Linked DNA regions of Arabidopsis thaliana. The protein of the gene in region 4 interacts with the protein of the main gene of each other region in a biochemical or structural test. Each region holds a gene or a part of one and is shown on either strand. Other genes may lie near its edges.

The links.
Region 1: the proteins of AKR2 (region 4) and HSP17.4 form a complex in vitro, tested with the Arabidopsis thaliana proteins (one study listed by BioGRID).
Region 2: the proteins of AKR2 (region 4) and OEP7 form a complex in vitro, tested with the Arabidopsis thaliana proteins (one study listed by BioGRID).
Region 3: the proteins of AKR2 (region 4) and AT1G07400 form a complex in vitro, tested with the Arabidopsis thaliana proteins (one study listed by BioGRID).

Annotation. Positions count from the first base shown.
Region 1 is NC_003074.8:16,983,618-16,986,849, forward strand, and holds HSP17.4 (heat shock protein 17.4), read right to left. Parts: upstream 1,225-3,232; 5' UTR 1,117-1,224; coding exon 646-1,116; 3' UTR 501-645; downstream 1-500. Other genes in the region: AT3G46220 (E3 UFM1-protein ligase-like protein), read left to right, coding at 44-136, 243-353; AT3G46240 (ER protein carbohydrate-binding protein), read right to left, coding at 2,226-2,338, 2,465-2,620, 2,812-2,844, 2,997-3,232.
Region 2 is NC_003074.8:19,427,653-19,430,862, reverse strand, and holds OEP7 (outer envelope membrane protein 7), read right to left. Parts: upstream 1,178-3,210; 5' UTR 1,089-1,177; coding exon 894-1,088; 3' UTR 604-893; downstream 1-603.
Region 3 is NC_003070.9:2,273,341-2,276,717, forward strand, and holds AT1G07400 (HSP20-like chaperones superfamily protein), read left to right. Parts: upstream 1-1,585; 5' UTR 1,586-1,807; coding exon 1,808-2,281; 3' UTR 2,282-2,443; downstream 2,444-3,377. Other genes in the region: RLP1 (receptor like protein 1), read left to right, coding at 1-1,314; RABA2b (RAB GTPase homolog A2B), read left to right, coding at 2,930-3,094, 3,335-3,377. UniProt on the Arabidopsis thaliana protein: Cytosolic mediator for sorting and targeting of nascent chloroplast outer envelope membrane (OEM) proteins to the chloroplast. Functions as an AKR2A cofactor to facilitate the targeting of OEP7 to chloroplasts.
Region 4 is NC_003075.7:16,837,780-16,842,934, reverse strand, and holds AKR2 (ankyrin repeat-containing protein 2), read right to left. Parts: upstream 3,404-5,155; 5' UTR 3,189-3,403; exon of another isoform or gene 3,091-3,188; 5' UTR 3,074-3,090; coding exon 3,037-3,073; intron 3,008-3,036; exon of another isoform or gene 2,941-3,007; coding exon 2,807-2,940; intron 2,726-2,806; coding exon 2,513-2,725; intron 2,419-2,512; coding exon 2,270-2,418; intron 2,204-2,269; coding exon 2,017-2,203; intron 1,888-2,016; coding exon 1,795-1,887; intron 1,514-1,794; coding exon 1,374-1,513; intron 1,276-1,373; coding exon 1,176-1,275; 3' UTR 986-1,175; downstream 1-985. Other genes in the region: NTRB (NADPH-dependent thioredoxin reductase B), read right to left, coding at 1-717; CLC-E (chloride channel E), read left to right, coding at 3,590-4,277, 4,371-4,574, 4,656-5,119. UniProt on the Arabidopsis thaliana protein: Exhibits chaperone activity toward chloroplast outer envelope membrane, mitochondrion outer membrane, endoplasmic reticulum membrane and peroxisomal proteins, by recruiting specific proteins containing a single transmembrane associated with an AKR2A-binding sequence (ABS) and subsequently binding glycolipids (e.g. monogalactosyldiacylglycerol (MGDG) and phosphatidylglycerol (PG)) present in the membrane of the target organelle.

The DNA.
Region 1 (3,232 bases), on a different chromosome or scaffold from region 4:
TTTTCTTTTTCTGTGGCTAACACGTCTATTTTAAACCATGTAGGAAAAACTTGATGAATCTGCGTACAAGACTCTGACAGATTACCAAACAGCAACTGTAACTCTTCTTGCTCTAATGTCAGCTTCATCCGGCGAGGTTCATATCCTTCTCTTATTTTGTGGGCTACAAATGTTCATTTGAAATGAAACCAATTAAATCTGTAGTGAATGATATCTTAAAACTATTCCATCAACATGAACAGGAACATGATTGCTCCGCAGACAGAATCTTGACCAAACGGGAACTTCTCGAGAGCCAGATGCCATTGCTTAGAACCCTCGTCCTTGGTGACTCGCAGCCACAACAATCCTAATCCAACAAAGTCAGGTCGGAAAGTTTCTTTAGTGTTCTGCTGACAAGACTGAGGTCCCTTCACTTAAAAACTTATTAGGACTAGGAGAAATGACACTTCAAAACTTTTATATTCAAAAGATTCGTATGGTTGGCTCGTAACTATCAATGGATCAAAACACTCTTTTATTACGATTACTTATATTGATACAACGAGATTGGTGATTACAAGAAAAAGAAGAAAGGAAAGTCGCACCATTTATTTCACACTATCACATATTACTGTCTTAAGCTTTCCAACTTCAGAGTTCCTCTTAACCAGAGATATCAACGGACTTGACCTCCGGCTTACTCTCCTGAACTTTCGGCACCGTAACCGACAACACCCCATTCTCCATACTCGCCTTTACTTCCTCCACCTTTGCATTCTCTGGCAACCGAAACCTCCTCATGAACTTCCCACTTGACCGCTCCACACGGTGCCATGTGTCACTCTTCTCTTCATTCTCACTGCTCCTCTCACCGCTTATCTGAAGTATGTTACCATCTTCAACCTCCACCTTCACCTCTTCCTTCTTAAGCCCAGGCACGTCCGCCTTGAACACATGCGCTTCAGGTGTCTCCCTCCAGTCCACTTTAGCGTTTGTGAACGCTGCCACGTCCTTGGCAGGTGCGTTTGTCAACCCGGGCGTCAAGAATCCTTCGAACGGATCCCATACGTCTAGTGAAAATGGGTCGAACACGTTTGTTCTTCGGCCTCCAAAAAAGCTCGGAACTAGAGACATCGTTTCGCTTACTCTGTTTGCTCTGTTTTGTTTTGTTTTGCTAGAACTCTCTTCGAATGCAAACACTTATGTGCGTTGGCGTATTTATAGGGAGAAATGATGGTAGAGAAGAGGATAAGAGATAGAAAGCTCTGCAAGTTTCTTGAAATTTCAGGTTTCTTCTTTCCGTTTCTTTATAACGTGTCTTTCAAGAGTGTCGCTACCAGATTTCTCAGGTGGCTTCAAGAAGCTTCTATGTTGATGGTTGAGACGACATGCAGTTCATTAGGTGGGGTAGTGAACGCCATGCCGTTTCATTTTACCATGGACTTCGTTAATGGGCCTTAATACACCATGCAATTAATCACGTGTTGTATAATGAACACTTATCTTTTGTTGATAAATTCAATCTTAATCATGCATCAGCAACTATTCTTCATTATCTAAATTTTGATTGTTGGTGTTGGTCCCTGTAAGACTAGAGTTCTCTTCTCACAAACAAATTATTAAGTTATAGCAATGAAAAGTTACACTCTTTATTGAATTTTAACCAAGAAGTCGAAGATGACACGGGATTTTTAGTGGTTTGATGAACAAGTTATTAATAACAATTAATCTAAGATTTTTGTGTGAAAAGTTGCAAATCCCTTTCTCGATTGAAGATCTAGAAACGGCGGGAAAGAAGCAATGAAAGCAAGTGGAAACTGGAAATTTGAAGAAAATCGAAGGAAAGTTGAATGAGGTGGGTTGCTTTGGATTTGAAACTAATATTAATTTTTGGGAAGAAGAAGAGTCGGATTAATATCCGATTAAGATAGAGAAAATAAAATAAAAAAATTACATTAGTATAGTTTTTTAAAGAGCAAACTCTTTTTTTGTGATAAATATAAAGACAAAAAATTCGTATGGGAAAATTGAGAATAAATAAAGCGCAACCTAAAATAAATAAATGATAATAGAAATTTATAACTATATACATTAATGCGGATACATGACATTCATGATCAGAAGAATCAAACTATTACGTACAAAGAGAGAGAAAAAAAATCATTGAAAACATATACTAAAACTCAAGATTAAAACATTTCTTTTACATGATGTTCAATATCATTGCGCTACGTATGACTGGTTCATCCAGTAAGGTCGTCGATCTCTCCCATTTCATTTGTAGGCTGGTTTGATGTAGAATCATTGTCCATCTGTTGTGTGAACAGAGTTGACGGTCCAGTCCCCATAGTAGCCACTATCATCAAAACATTTAACTAGTCACATCTCTAGAGTAGATAGAGAGATTAGCCATGCATGAACAAAACTTCATATATGTTTAGAAGAAATGGATCAAATATATAATCACTCTATATATAAATACCTGTGGACGTAGGCATAGCCAAGGCTTGCAGCCTCACTTTGCGACGATTAGCTAAGATTATAGCGATGAACACATATGCGACAAGAACAAACGCAACCGGTGACACTACACCGAGTATAATTGGCAGTTTACTGCTCTTTCCATTGGTTGATCCACCTGACCCCATAACAAATGTAATTTTTTTTACTTGCATAATATGCATAACTAAATGTTTTTTTTTTCTTTTCTTCATAATATTCATGTTATGATGATTACTGAGAGCTTTTTCTAATTAACAAACCCATAAGATAACAAGATAAAATGAATAGAAAGATCCAAATACAAACCTGGACTCACTTCATTGCTACCTCCAGTTCCTCCTTTGCTAGTCCCACCTGAGCCTAACACAAATAAAATTCAATGTGACTCTCTTTTTTTTTCACTCAAACTTCAAAGGTGATTATATAATCTAAATATACTAAAAGCTTGTTTGTTTTGGTAATTCGTCGAAAAATAGAGTAATTCATTAAAAATGCATTCCAAGAAAACAAACCAGATCCGGATCCACTGCTCCCAGATCCTCCTCCTCCACTTCCACCGGATCCTGATCCTGAACCGGAACCAGTTTCGTTTCCGCCTGTGCTTTCGCTTGTACCCTTACTAATTACATAAAGCTCGGCCGCATTTATCATGGGCGGTAAAAGCGCACTAGAAGTGGACCAGAGCGTCAGTAGGGTGCTTGAACTGGCCACCACATCTCTCACGACCACTTGAGTTGCTTTTCCAAAC
Region 2 (3,210 bases), on a different chromosome or scaffold from region 4:
GTCATCTTTTAATCTCTGTTTGGGATCTTTGTGGAAAAACCTAGAGTACAAAATGGGGCAAATTATCAAAACAAAACAAAAAAGGTTTGAAGAAGAAATATCTGATGATTAGGACTTAAGCATGTATTAGAAAACTCTTGCCTTAACAAACTGATAATGATAAAAGAGATAATCTGAATCCTAAATGTCAATGAAACTATCCAACCGGACAATAATCATTGCAAAGCTACCATCTATAGTAATTTTCATGTAATTTTCTGGTTTTGATATTTTCCTGAATTGGAGTAAATATTCAAATTAAACAATGAACTTCTATAACCAAGTCTCTCCATTAGAGACTAGTAGTACATTTTCTTGGTGTTTTCTCATATGATGAAGTCAGTCGTCGTCCAAAGTTTTCTCAACTAAATGATGTTAAACAATCAATCTGACACATCTTTGTATCACCACATGTTATCGTCTCCCTATACTTATTTAGCTAATCTGCTTTATCTATAAAGCAATCTTGTAATTGTCAAGTTTGATATTTTGCTCTAACATGCTTCTTTTCAAGAGATACGTATAATCGAATCATAACTTAAAACAATTTAAGTACTTATCGGATTCCTAATCTCTTCTTCCACCTTAATAATACAGCTCGAAACTTTATACAAAATACGAAAAACGGTGTAACAAATCATGTATGAATATTGATTAGATTAATGATTCTGTTATGCGATTGAACTACAATAACAGATTCAATATAGCAGACTTTTCCAAAAATTGATGACAAATAAACGATCATGACTCAAAAGAAATTGCTCAAACTGTTATGATTAAGAACACATGGATTCATCAGTTACATGAAATGGATTGAAATCAGTAAATCTCTTTAATCTGATAAAACCCTAATTTTACAAACCCTCTTTGGATGTGGTTGCAGTAGCGGCGGTGTCGAAGTCATCGGGGTCTTTGGTTGGGTCAGATTTGTCGATTGAGGAGCGGAATTTATCGAGGAAAGGCTTGAAAGCGATCTCTATGGCTAACCATCCTAACGCCATCGCTGCGACCACCACAGTCGCCTGTTTCGCTCCCGAAGTTTTTCCCATCGCTGCGTCGTCGTCTTGTTCGCGTGTCGGTGGTATCAACCGATGGTTTAAGATCGGGAGATGGGTTTTACTAGGATGTTTAAAATGGGCCGGTTTGGGCTTCTCATTGGATAAAGATAGTTTGTTTGTTAAACTATGGCCCAACTTTTTATCCGTCTATTGGTTAATTAATACAAACTTTTTATATAATTGTAAATATAATTGAAAGGATCCCTATTTTATTTTCTTGGGAATATATATATGGAAAAAAACAATCAATAGAATTAGATAAATAGTTCAATATATCAACAATTTCTTTTTTGTTAGGATAAGGAACTTTTACCTTTTTTCTAATATAGTTACAAATTGTGTTTTTTTTTTTCTTAATTTATTATCAAATTTCTTTTTTACTTATATATAACCTCCTTTTTCATATAGAGTTATTAACTTTTTCATTTTCTCAGTAAATGTATTAACAAATTTAGACTTAATACATGAAGACATCTAATATTTTTATTGATATGTGTCGTGAACTCGTGACATGTTAGTTAGTAATTTTTATAAAAAAAATTTAGATAGGTTAAAATTATTTGATATGTGTAGGGGTGTCAATGGGTCAAAATTTATTGGTCAACTCAACTCAACCCATAAACCCTAATGAGTTGAAAATTTTGACTCAAATGAGTTGATGGGTCAAATGAGTTGATGAGTCAATTGGTTTGATGAGTAAAATGAGTTGGGTTGTAATGATTAATGGTTTCAATGGTTTACCCAATTAACCCATCAAGTTTTGTAAAATTGAATTAAACCAACTAAAATTTCTAAATCAATGTCAATTTAAGTCTAACCAACACATCTAAACCAATTTAATAAAATTAATATTTTTCCAAATTTCTTAAATATACATGCGATGAAATTGAGAAAAAGTAAACTCGTAAATTTTCCACCAAAAAACATAAACCCGTGATTTTCCCGCCAAAAACGTAAATCCGTGATTTTCTCGCCAAAAACGTAAACCCGTGATTTTTCCGCCAAAAACGTAAACCCCTGATTTTTCCGCCAAAAACGTAAACCAGAGATTTTCCCGCCAAAAACGTAAATCCATAATTTCCCGCCAAAAACGGAAACCCGTAATTTTTCCGCCAAAAACGTAAACCCATAATTTTTTTCCAAAAACGTAAACCCGTGATTTTCCCACCAAAAACGTAAACCCGTGATTTTCCCGCCAAAAACGTAAACCCGAGATTTTTCCGCCAAAAACATAAACCCGTGGTTTTCCCGCCAAAAACGTAAACTCGTAATTTTGACGCTAAAAACGTAAACTCGTAATTTTCTCGCCAAAAAACGTAAACTCGTAATTTTTCCACCAAAAACGTAAACCCGTGATTTTCCCACCAAAAACGTAAACCCGTGATTTTCCCACCAAAAACGTAAACCCGTGATTTTCCCACCAAAAACGTAAACCCAAGATTTTCCCATAAAAAACGTAAACCCATAAAAAGTAGAATCCGTAAATATCCTAAGTTTGATGATAATGAATTAATAATGATAATTATTTATTATTATTTTATAATAGTAATTAAGTAAATTATTAATTAAATGGGTTAACCCATTTAACAACTCAACCCATCAAATTAAATGAGTTATGAGTTGACCCAACCCATTTAACAAAATGAGTTGAGTTAACACATAACTCATTTAACTCTAAACTCATTTGATTATGAGTTGGGTTGAGTTGGGTTACCCATTTTGACACCTCTAAATATGTGTCTCTAGCCTCTACTATTTTTAAAAACTAAATTTTATATAATAAATTTTTTTATCTTAATAATAACCAAGTTGAACATATTTTAGTTCTAAAATTAACTACTCGGTTTAATATTAAACTTTAGACCAGGACATGCCGGATAACATGGTCTTAGTGTTGTCGTACGTCACCATTAGAGTTTCAATTTGCATAATACAAGGTGGTTGACCCAATAAAAGAAATTTGATTCAATTTCGATATAAACAGGTTTGTTTTGGTTCAGTTTTACCTATTACTTTTTATTTTGTCCAATCCCAAAACTATTATTTCAAAGACAAATTGGAGAAGAAACAAAAAAAAACTAATGGTTGGACAAAAGATTATTATATATCAATT
Region 3 (3,377 bases), on a different chromosome or scaffold from region 4:
TTGAAGTCAAAGAATCTTACTCTTTTAGACATATCAGATAATAGGTTTTCGGGCATGCTTCCACTTTGGATTGGTAGGATATCAAGGCTTTCCTACCTATACATGAGTGGTAATCAGCTAAAAGGTCCTTTCCCTTTTCTACGACAGAGTCCTTGGGTTGAGGTTATGGACATCTCACACAATAGCTTCTCTGGTTCGATACCAAGGAATGTGAATTTTCCATCTCTCAGAGAACTAAGACTACAAAACAATGAGTTTACGGGTTTAGTTCCGGGAAATTTATTCAAGGCTGCGGGATTAGAAGTGCTTGATTTGCGGAACAACAATTTTTCTGGAAAGATACTGAACACTATTGACCAGACATCTAAGTTACGTATTCTTCTTCTACGGAATAACAGCTTTCAAACTTATATCCCTGGGAAAATATGTCAGCTAAGTGAAGTTGGTCTGTTAGACTTGTCTCACAATCAATTCAGAGGCCCCATACCATCATGTTTCAGTAAAATGTCTTTTGGTGCAGAGCAGAATGACCGTACCATGTCACTTGTTGCAGATTTTGACTTCTCATACATTACATTCTTGCCACATTGTCAATATGGATCACATCTTAACTTGGATGATGGTGTCAGGAATGGTTATCAACCAAAACCAGCAACCGTAGTGGATTTTTTAACGAAAAGCAGATATGAGGCGTATCAAGGTGATATTCTCCGCTATATGCATGGTCTGGATTTGTCGAGCAACGAACTATCGGGTGAAATTCCAATCGAGATTGGAGATCTTCAGAATATCAGGTCCCTGAATTTGTCAAGTAACCGCCTCACAGGCTCCATACCAGATAGCATTTCAAAGCTGAAGGGCTTAGAGAGTCTTGATCTATCCAACAATAAGCTAGATGGAAGTATCCCTCCTGCGCTAGCCGATCTCAACAGTTTAGGATACTTGAATATCTCATATAACAATTTATCAGGTGAAATCCCTTTCAAAGGCCATCTTGTTACCTTTGACGAGAGGAGTTACATAGGCAACGCTCATCTCTGTGGACTTCCTACAAATAAAAATTGCATCTCCCAGAGAGTCCCTGAGCCACCAAGTGTGTCAACGCATGCCAAAGAGGAAGAAAATGAAGAAGAAGGTAATGTGATAGACATGGTGTGGTTTTACTGGACTTGTGCTGCAGTCTACATATCTACATCCTTGGCATTGTTTGCTTTCCTCTACATAGACTCACGATGGTCCCGAGAATGGTTTTATCGTGTAGATCTATGCGTTCATCATATTCTACAGTTCAAGCGTTCCTCAGTCTGCAACTGATTCTGTGGATTAGCCAAGGTATACACCACTGGAATAACACAGTCTTAAAATGCTTTCTTAGTTGATCCAAGTTAGATGAGAAAAAGCTTTTGTATACAAAATATATGTCTTCGATGTCAAATATATACATGATACCAGTTTCAATTTCTAAACATTATCTCATAATATTTGGGCCTCAGGAGCCCATTATAGCCCATAAAACGCATAACGGCTGAATAGAGTCGTACTGTACTTGAAATTGAAAGGCATCTACTAGTAGACTCTAGAGTTTTCTGGATTCTGTTTTCCAATCTTTTCATCGTTTTCGTGTGAAGTTTAAAGAAGTTTGGGACCCGTAAATTCTAGAAGCTCTGGAGATTTCTTGTTCACCACTATAAATACATCATCCGAGTCACCAGCTTTGCTCAGAAGTAGAAATCGAACTCGCCGGAAAATCGTAATTAGCTATCTCAGCATTCCAAACATCTCTTTCGCTTTCGAAATCAAATCGAGAATGTCGCTTATTCCAAGCTTCTTCGGCAACAACAGGCGAAGCAACAGCATCTTCGACCCGTTCTCACTCGACGTTTGGGATCCATTCAAGGAACTGCAATTCCCGTCGTCGCTCTCCGGAGAAACATCGGCGATAACGAACGCACGTGTGGACTGGAAAGAGACGGCGGAGGCGCACGTGTTCAAGGCCGATCTGCCGGGGATGAAGAAAGAGGAGGTTAAAGTGGAGATAGAGGACGACAGTGTGCTCAAGATCAGTGGAGAGAGACACGTGGAGAAAGAGGAGAAGCAGGACACGTGGCATCGTGTGGAGAGGTCGAGCGGGCAATTCTCGAGGAAGTTTAAGCTGCCGGAGAATGTGAAGATGGATCAAGTCAAGGCTTCCATGGAGAACGGAGTTCTGACTGTGACGGTGCCTAAAGTGGAAGAGGCTAAGAAGAAGGCTCAAGTTAAGTCTATTGATATCTCTGGCTAAAGCCAATTAGCTTATGGGTTTCATGTTTATGCGTAAAGACTCTTCTGATTATGGCTCTTGATTTGAATATGGCTCTGTGTTTTGGTAATGATGTATTATAACTGTTAATCCTAATAATTAAGCAAGGCCTTTATATTCTCGTTTCAATTGCTTTTTCTGAAGATTTTAGCCGTAAATTCGATTTTAACTCGGATGGGACCAACTAAACTTAAGTTTAAAGGTTGAATTTTTAATTTAGATATGCAATTTGCATAATCTGATCTTAGTTTTGGTATGACTGATTTGTAACAAAGTCTTATAACAAAAAGTTGAAATTTAATGAAATTATTTCTTCCGTGGTAAACAAAAAAAAAAGAATCTCAAAATTCGAAACTAAATAAAAGGGAGTTTCCGTTTTCACCTCTTGGGCACAAAACCCGCAACGTATAAGGAAAGGAAACAGAGAAATACAGAAACAAAATATATAAAAAAAACATTTGTTCCATTCTCGATCCTTCCGGCTTGCTCAAAAGGTAAAATTCGATTTTCTAGGGTTTCGATTTGCTGCTTTTTGATCTCATTGACGATGATTAGTTGTAGTTTCTTCGATCGATGTTGACGTGAATGTGTATATGCGTAGGTTGATCAGACGCTAGGATTTGAGAAGCAATGGCGAATAGAATAGATCATGAGTACGATTACTTGTTCAAGATCGTCCTGATCGGCGATTCCGGTGTTGGTAAATCCAACATTCTCTCTCGATTCACCAGAAACGAGTTCTGTCTCGAATCCAAATCCACCATTGGCGTCGAATTCGCCACCCGGACTTTACAGGTCATCTCTCTTCTCTCGCTTTCTCTAAATCTAGACAATTTCCCTCCAGATCAATTTGGTGTTTAATCTTAGATTGTGTCGTCGCATTTGCATCCTCTGATATTTGAACAGGCATGTGATTGTTAGATCTGAAGATCTTATGTTATGAAAATGAATTCTCGTTAGGGGTTTATTTTAATGTAATTGTAGCAAATGAAATGGCTCGTCTTTGTTCATGCTTGTATGTGTAATCTTGACTAGGTTGAAGGCAAAACAGTGAAGGCTCAGATTTGGGACACTGCAG
Region 4 (5,155 bases):
AGACGCTCTAAAAGCATCTCTCCTATGGATTATATACACTTTAGATCCATATTTTGTAAGAAAGTTTGCTTCTTCCATTGCTGAATCGCCTCCACCGATCACCGCAAGAGGTTTGTTACGGAATATCGGAGCAGCTCCGTCGCAAACAGCACAAGCGGAGATTCCACGGTTCCAGAAACCTCCAGAAGCTTCACCAGATCCAACGAAGCTAAGCCGCTTAGCCACAGCTCCAGTAGCGAGAATCACAGCGTCAGCGAGAATGGCTTTTGAATCTGTGAATAGCTTAAACGGTTTCGAAGAGAAATCGACTTTCGTCACCGTCTCTGTAAATATCGTAGTACCGAATCGCTCCGATTGTTTACGGAATTTGTCAGTGAGCTCTACTCCGAGAATACCTTCTGGAAATCCGGGGAAATTCTCGACGTCGGTGGTGGTTGTTAGTTGACCACCGGGAGCGATGTCGTTAGCCATCCATCCTTCGAAGAGAAGAGGTTTAAGTTCAGCCCTAGCTGCGTAAATCGCCGCCGTGTGTGCCGCTGGGCCACTTCCTACGATACAGAGCCTTGTGTTGTGAGTTTCGAGACCATTCATGACGGCGGATGAAGAAAACGCGGCGGAGGCGAGAGACGGCGGTTGAGAGAGAGTGGATTCACCACCAAGCCGTGCAAAGCTTCGTGCTTTGCTTATCAAACACTTTAAACGACTCACACAGTTCATTAGGAACGAATTTACTTGCAAAGACAAGACCTTTGATTCACACCAAAAAAAAAAAAAAAGACAAGACCCTTGATTTTGTTTTGATTCTCAAATATTTTGGGTTTTGAGCTTTGCGTAAATATTGTCAAGCTTGGGAATTTGGGCAATACAGTAACAGAAGAATGGAATAACTTGGAGATCAAGTAGTTTTTCTTACATATCCTCCAAACCAGAATGATTCTTCCAAATTGAATCATTCTGTAGAGGTCGACGAAATAAAGAATATAATCATAAATTAAATCATTGATTGCTATTTCTTTCTTTATTGACTTTTAAAACAACATAAGAGACAAATTTAGAAGAAGAGAGGAACTAATAAAAAGTGTACACAAAAAGCCTGTGAAACTGGTTCAGGACACACACAAGACAAATGCCTCAAAGACAATATGAGCTTAGAGCTTTCCTTTAACCAGCAGAGCTCAAAGGAAAGCATCCTTCTCAAGCAGCTTCACCACCTCCAGCTGGCTGTTGAGCTTCGCTACATCAATTGGCGTCTTCTCGTCTAGGTTTTGCAGAGTGCTGCAACCACACACATCAACCAAAGCACATATAATTAAAGTCCTGAAACAGTGTTTAATGGAGTTGTTTCATTATAAGTACTGTGTTGTGAGACTTACACTGCAGCACCATTCTCCAGGAGAAGGCTTACACACTCTTTCCTCCCGTAACCAGCAGCATAATGCAGAGGTGTGTTCTTGTTTTTGTCAACCGCATTAACACTTGCTCCAGCATCGATAAGAACTTGAGCACATTTCAACTGTTGATAGGGCTCAACAGGGTTAAACTCAGTTCAATCCATATTCATAAGCAAAATCTTTAGTATGCAAGTAATCGCCAGTTCCATCTCATTGCTCTTTCACCAAATATTTGAACTTGCTATAAGTAATTGTGTCATGAAACTCGTAGACGTAAGTAGACTGGTTACTTTTCTACCAATTGAATGATTATAAAGATTCTTAACTTCACAGCTACTGAAAAAAAGAGAACCATCTAAATCCGAATATTTAATTGCCGTGAATTGATAAGAGAATTGCATACCTCGCCGTATCCACAAGCAAAATGCAATGCTGTCCTTCCTTCAGAATCTTCTTCATCTTTGTTACCACCAGATGCCAAGGCAGCTTTCAAACCCTAATGAATCAACGAATAAAAATCCAATAACGAGTTCAACAAAACAAAACTTGGAACATCTAATTCCTCAAGCAACACGCAAGATAAATCTCACATGGTCAAGCATATTAACGTAGGAAGCAGTCTAACCTCAACATCACCAAGACTGGCAGTTTGGTGAACAATAGACTCTTCTTCTTCACCTTCTTCTGCTACCTCAGGTTCAGCTGAAACAGTCTGGTCTGGTAAGCCAGCAACAGGCATACCCATTGCTTCACCCAGCTTTTTCAGCACTTCTGGATCATTCCAGTACCTAAAACAGAATAAATAATTCTTCCTTCATAAACAGAAACAAACTCTACAGTTTCTCTAAAAAACATTGAAAGAAGTTTGTATCACTCACTTCATCATGGCAGAAGGACCACCAGCATCAATCTCATCTAGTATAGGTTTCAACTCTGGATCTTCTTTCATCCGCGCCATACGCTCAGTAAAGTGTTCTGCTGTTTCAGGATTCGAGAAAGCATCCAAAAAAGGAGACATTTGTGGATCCTGTAGGCAAAAAAAATAAATAAAATCAGATAAGACACAGAGCTTCATTCAAAGCCACACCTCGATTAGATGGAAAAAGTCATCAATTCCTAACCTGAACTAAGGCGGTACCAAGTTTCTCGGCCATTGTCTTAAACTCAGGGTTATGCATAACCTGTTGCATTGTATTGACATACTGTTGAGGATCAAAGTTAGGGAAACCACCTTCCTGGCCAGCGTTAGGAATAGATCTCTGAAGCTGCTCAGCCAATTGGTTAAACGCAGGATCTTTAGCTATTTGCTCAGCCATTTCTCTGATGCTAGGATCCTACAAAAAAAACCATTATCAATTAAAAAAAAACTCAAAGAAGATAACTTTTCAATTGTGCTAACAGCAAAGGTAACTTACGTTGAGAATACTAGCCATATTAGAGAAATCAAAAGCATTGAAATTCAAGCCAGGCATAGCTGATGAAGTTGAACTCCCAGAAGCTGATTCCGGCTTAGAACTCTTATTCTCCTCCGTCGATTTGGGTTTCTCATCTACAGTAAACAAATTACAATGAACCAATAACCAAATCTGACTAGAAACGATTCATTATCGCAGATCAGATTGTATACTGAGAAGAAAATAATCACCTGAAAGAAGAGGATTTTTCTCCGAATTGGAAGCCATTAAGTATGACTAAAACCCTACAAAAAACACAATTTTGTTTTCAGGAAAAGGTGTAAACAAGAGATTCAACGAAAATAAGCGAAGAGGAAGACAAAGAAATCGAATCGACAACTACCTAAGAGAATTTAGTAAGAAAAGGAAGAAGAAGAAGAAATTAACCCGAAAAGACAATGTTGTGGTGGCAAACGCTCATGAAACTTGAAATACAGATAATCTTTCTTTTTTTTAATATGACGACAAGAGAAAAATTATTTATTTATCAGCTGGATTTTGGATTGAGAAGAAGATCAACTGCGAGGGACAACAGCCACTGCTTCTCCATTGAAGTTTGAACCTAAAGCTAAGAGGCCTTTTATTTTTAATCAAATTTATTGTTATTGGCCCATATAAACCTGTTTACCTCAAGGCCCAAGCCCATGCGTTTGAATAATAAGATCAGCCACGTAAGATTTGTGATTTAAGATCAAATTATCCGTTAATGGATAAACACGCGTCACTTCACGGAAGCAGCCGTTCATGGCAGCCACGCTTCCACTCTGTGCTGCCCTCCGATCTCCCGTCTCTTCCCGGAGATTCGCTCCAATTCACAAAACCGACGTTCCTTTTCAGTTCAATGTCGTCCTTTCACCGTTTTTCGGTTCCGTCGCTATTGGCGGTAGAATTTTCCCGCGTTTACCGGCGGCGAAGCAGGAGACTGATCAGGATGAGGTTGGATTTGATCAGCAGCCGTCTCAGGAGCTTGCGATAGCGTCGGCTTGTTTGGTTGGTGTTCTCACTGGAGTTAGTGTGGTTCTATTCAACAACTGTGTTCACTTGCTTCGAGACTTTTCCTGGGATGGGATTCCTGATCGTGGAGCTTCGTGGCTTAGAGAGGCACCGATCGGTTCCAATTGGTTGCGTGTTATCCTTGTTCCGACTATCGGCGGTTTGGTGGTGAGCATCCTCAATCAGCTTCGAGAATCTGCTGGAAAATCTACTGGAGATTCTCATTCTAGTCTCGATCGCGTAAAGGCAGTGTTGCGTCCTTTCCTTAAGACTGTTGCCGCATGTGTGACGCTTGGGACTGGAAATTCGCTGGGGCCGGAAGGTCCAAGTGTTGAAATTGGAGCGTCAATCGCTAAAGGTGTGAATTCTCTGTTCAATAAAAGTCCTCAGACTGGCTTCTCACTTCTTGCCGCTGGCTCAGCTGCTGGCATTTCCTCTGGTTTGTTCATCTGATATTTGCTAATGTTGTTCTCTCTTGCGTATGGAACTCTTGATTGATTCGTTAAGAGGACTTTGTTATATGTTGTTACAGGGTTCAATGCAGCTGTGGCTGGATGCTTCTTTGCAGTTGAATCCGTTTTGTGGCCTTCTTCATCAACTGATTCATCAACTTCACTTCCAAACACAACTTCTATGGTTATTCTTAGTGCTGTTACTGCTTCTGTGGTTTCCGAAATCGGTCTCGGCTCTGAACCTGCGTTTAAGGTTCCTGACTATGACTTCCGCTCTCCTGGAGGTAATATGCATTGCCATTCTTATGCTTTTTACGCAAGGGAACCAGAAACCAAACTTATGAGAGCTGGTCACTGATTTTCAGAACTTCCACTCTATCTTTTATTGGGCGCTCTGTGTGGCTTGGTCTCGTTGGCATTATCTCGATGTACATCATCCATGACATCTGCTGTTGACAGTCTTAACAAGGATGCTGGGATACCAAAGGCTGTATTTCCTGTAATGGGTGGATTAAGTGTTGGTATCATAGCTTTGGTATACCCTGAAGTATTATACTGGGGTTTTCAGAATGTGGATATTTTGTTGGAGAAACGTCCATTTGTGAAGGGTCTTTCAGCTGATCTTTTGCTTCAGCTGGTAGCGGTCAAGATAGCTGCAACCGCATGGTGTCGGGCTTCTGGACTTGTCGGTGGATACTATGCTCCTTCTCTCTTTATTGGCGGGGCAGCAGGAATGGCCTATGGAAAGTTTATTGGACTTGCTTTGGCTCAGAACCCTGATTTCAATCTCTCTATCTTGGAAGTGGCATCTCCACAAGCTTATGGTCTGGTACTGTTCTTATGTGGTCAATGTTTCAAAATTGTC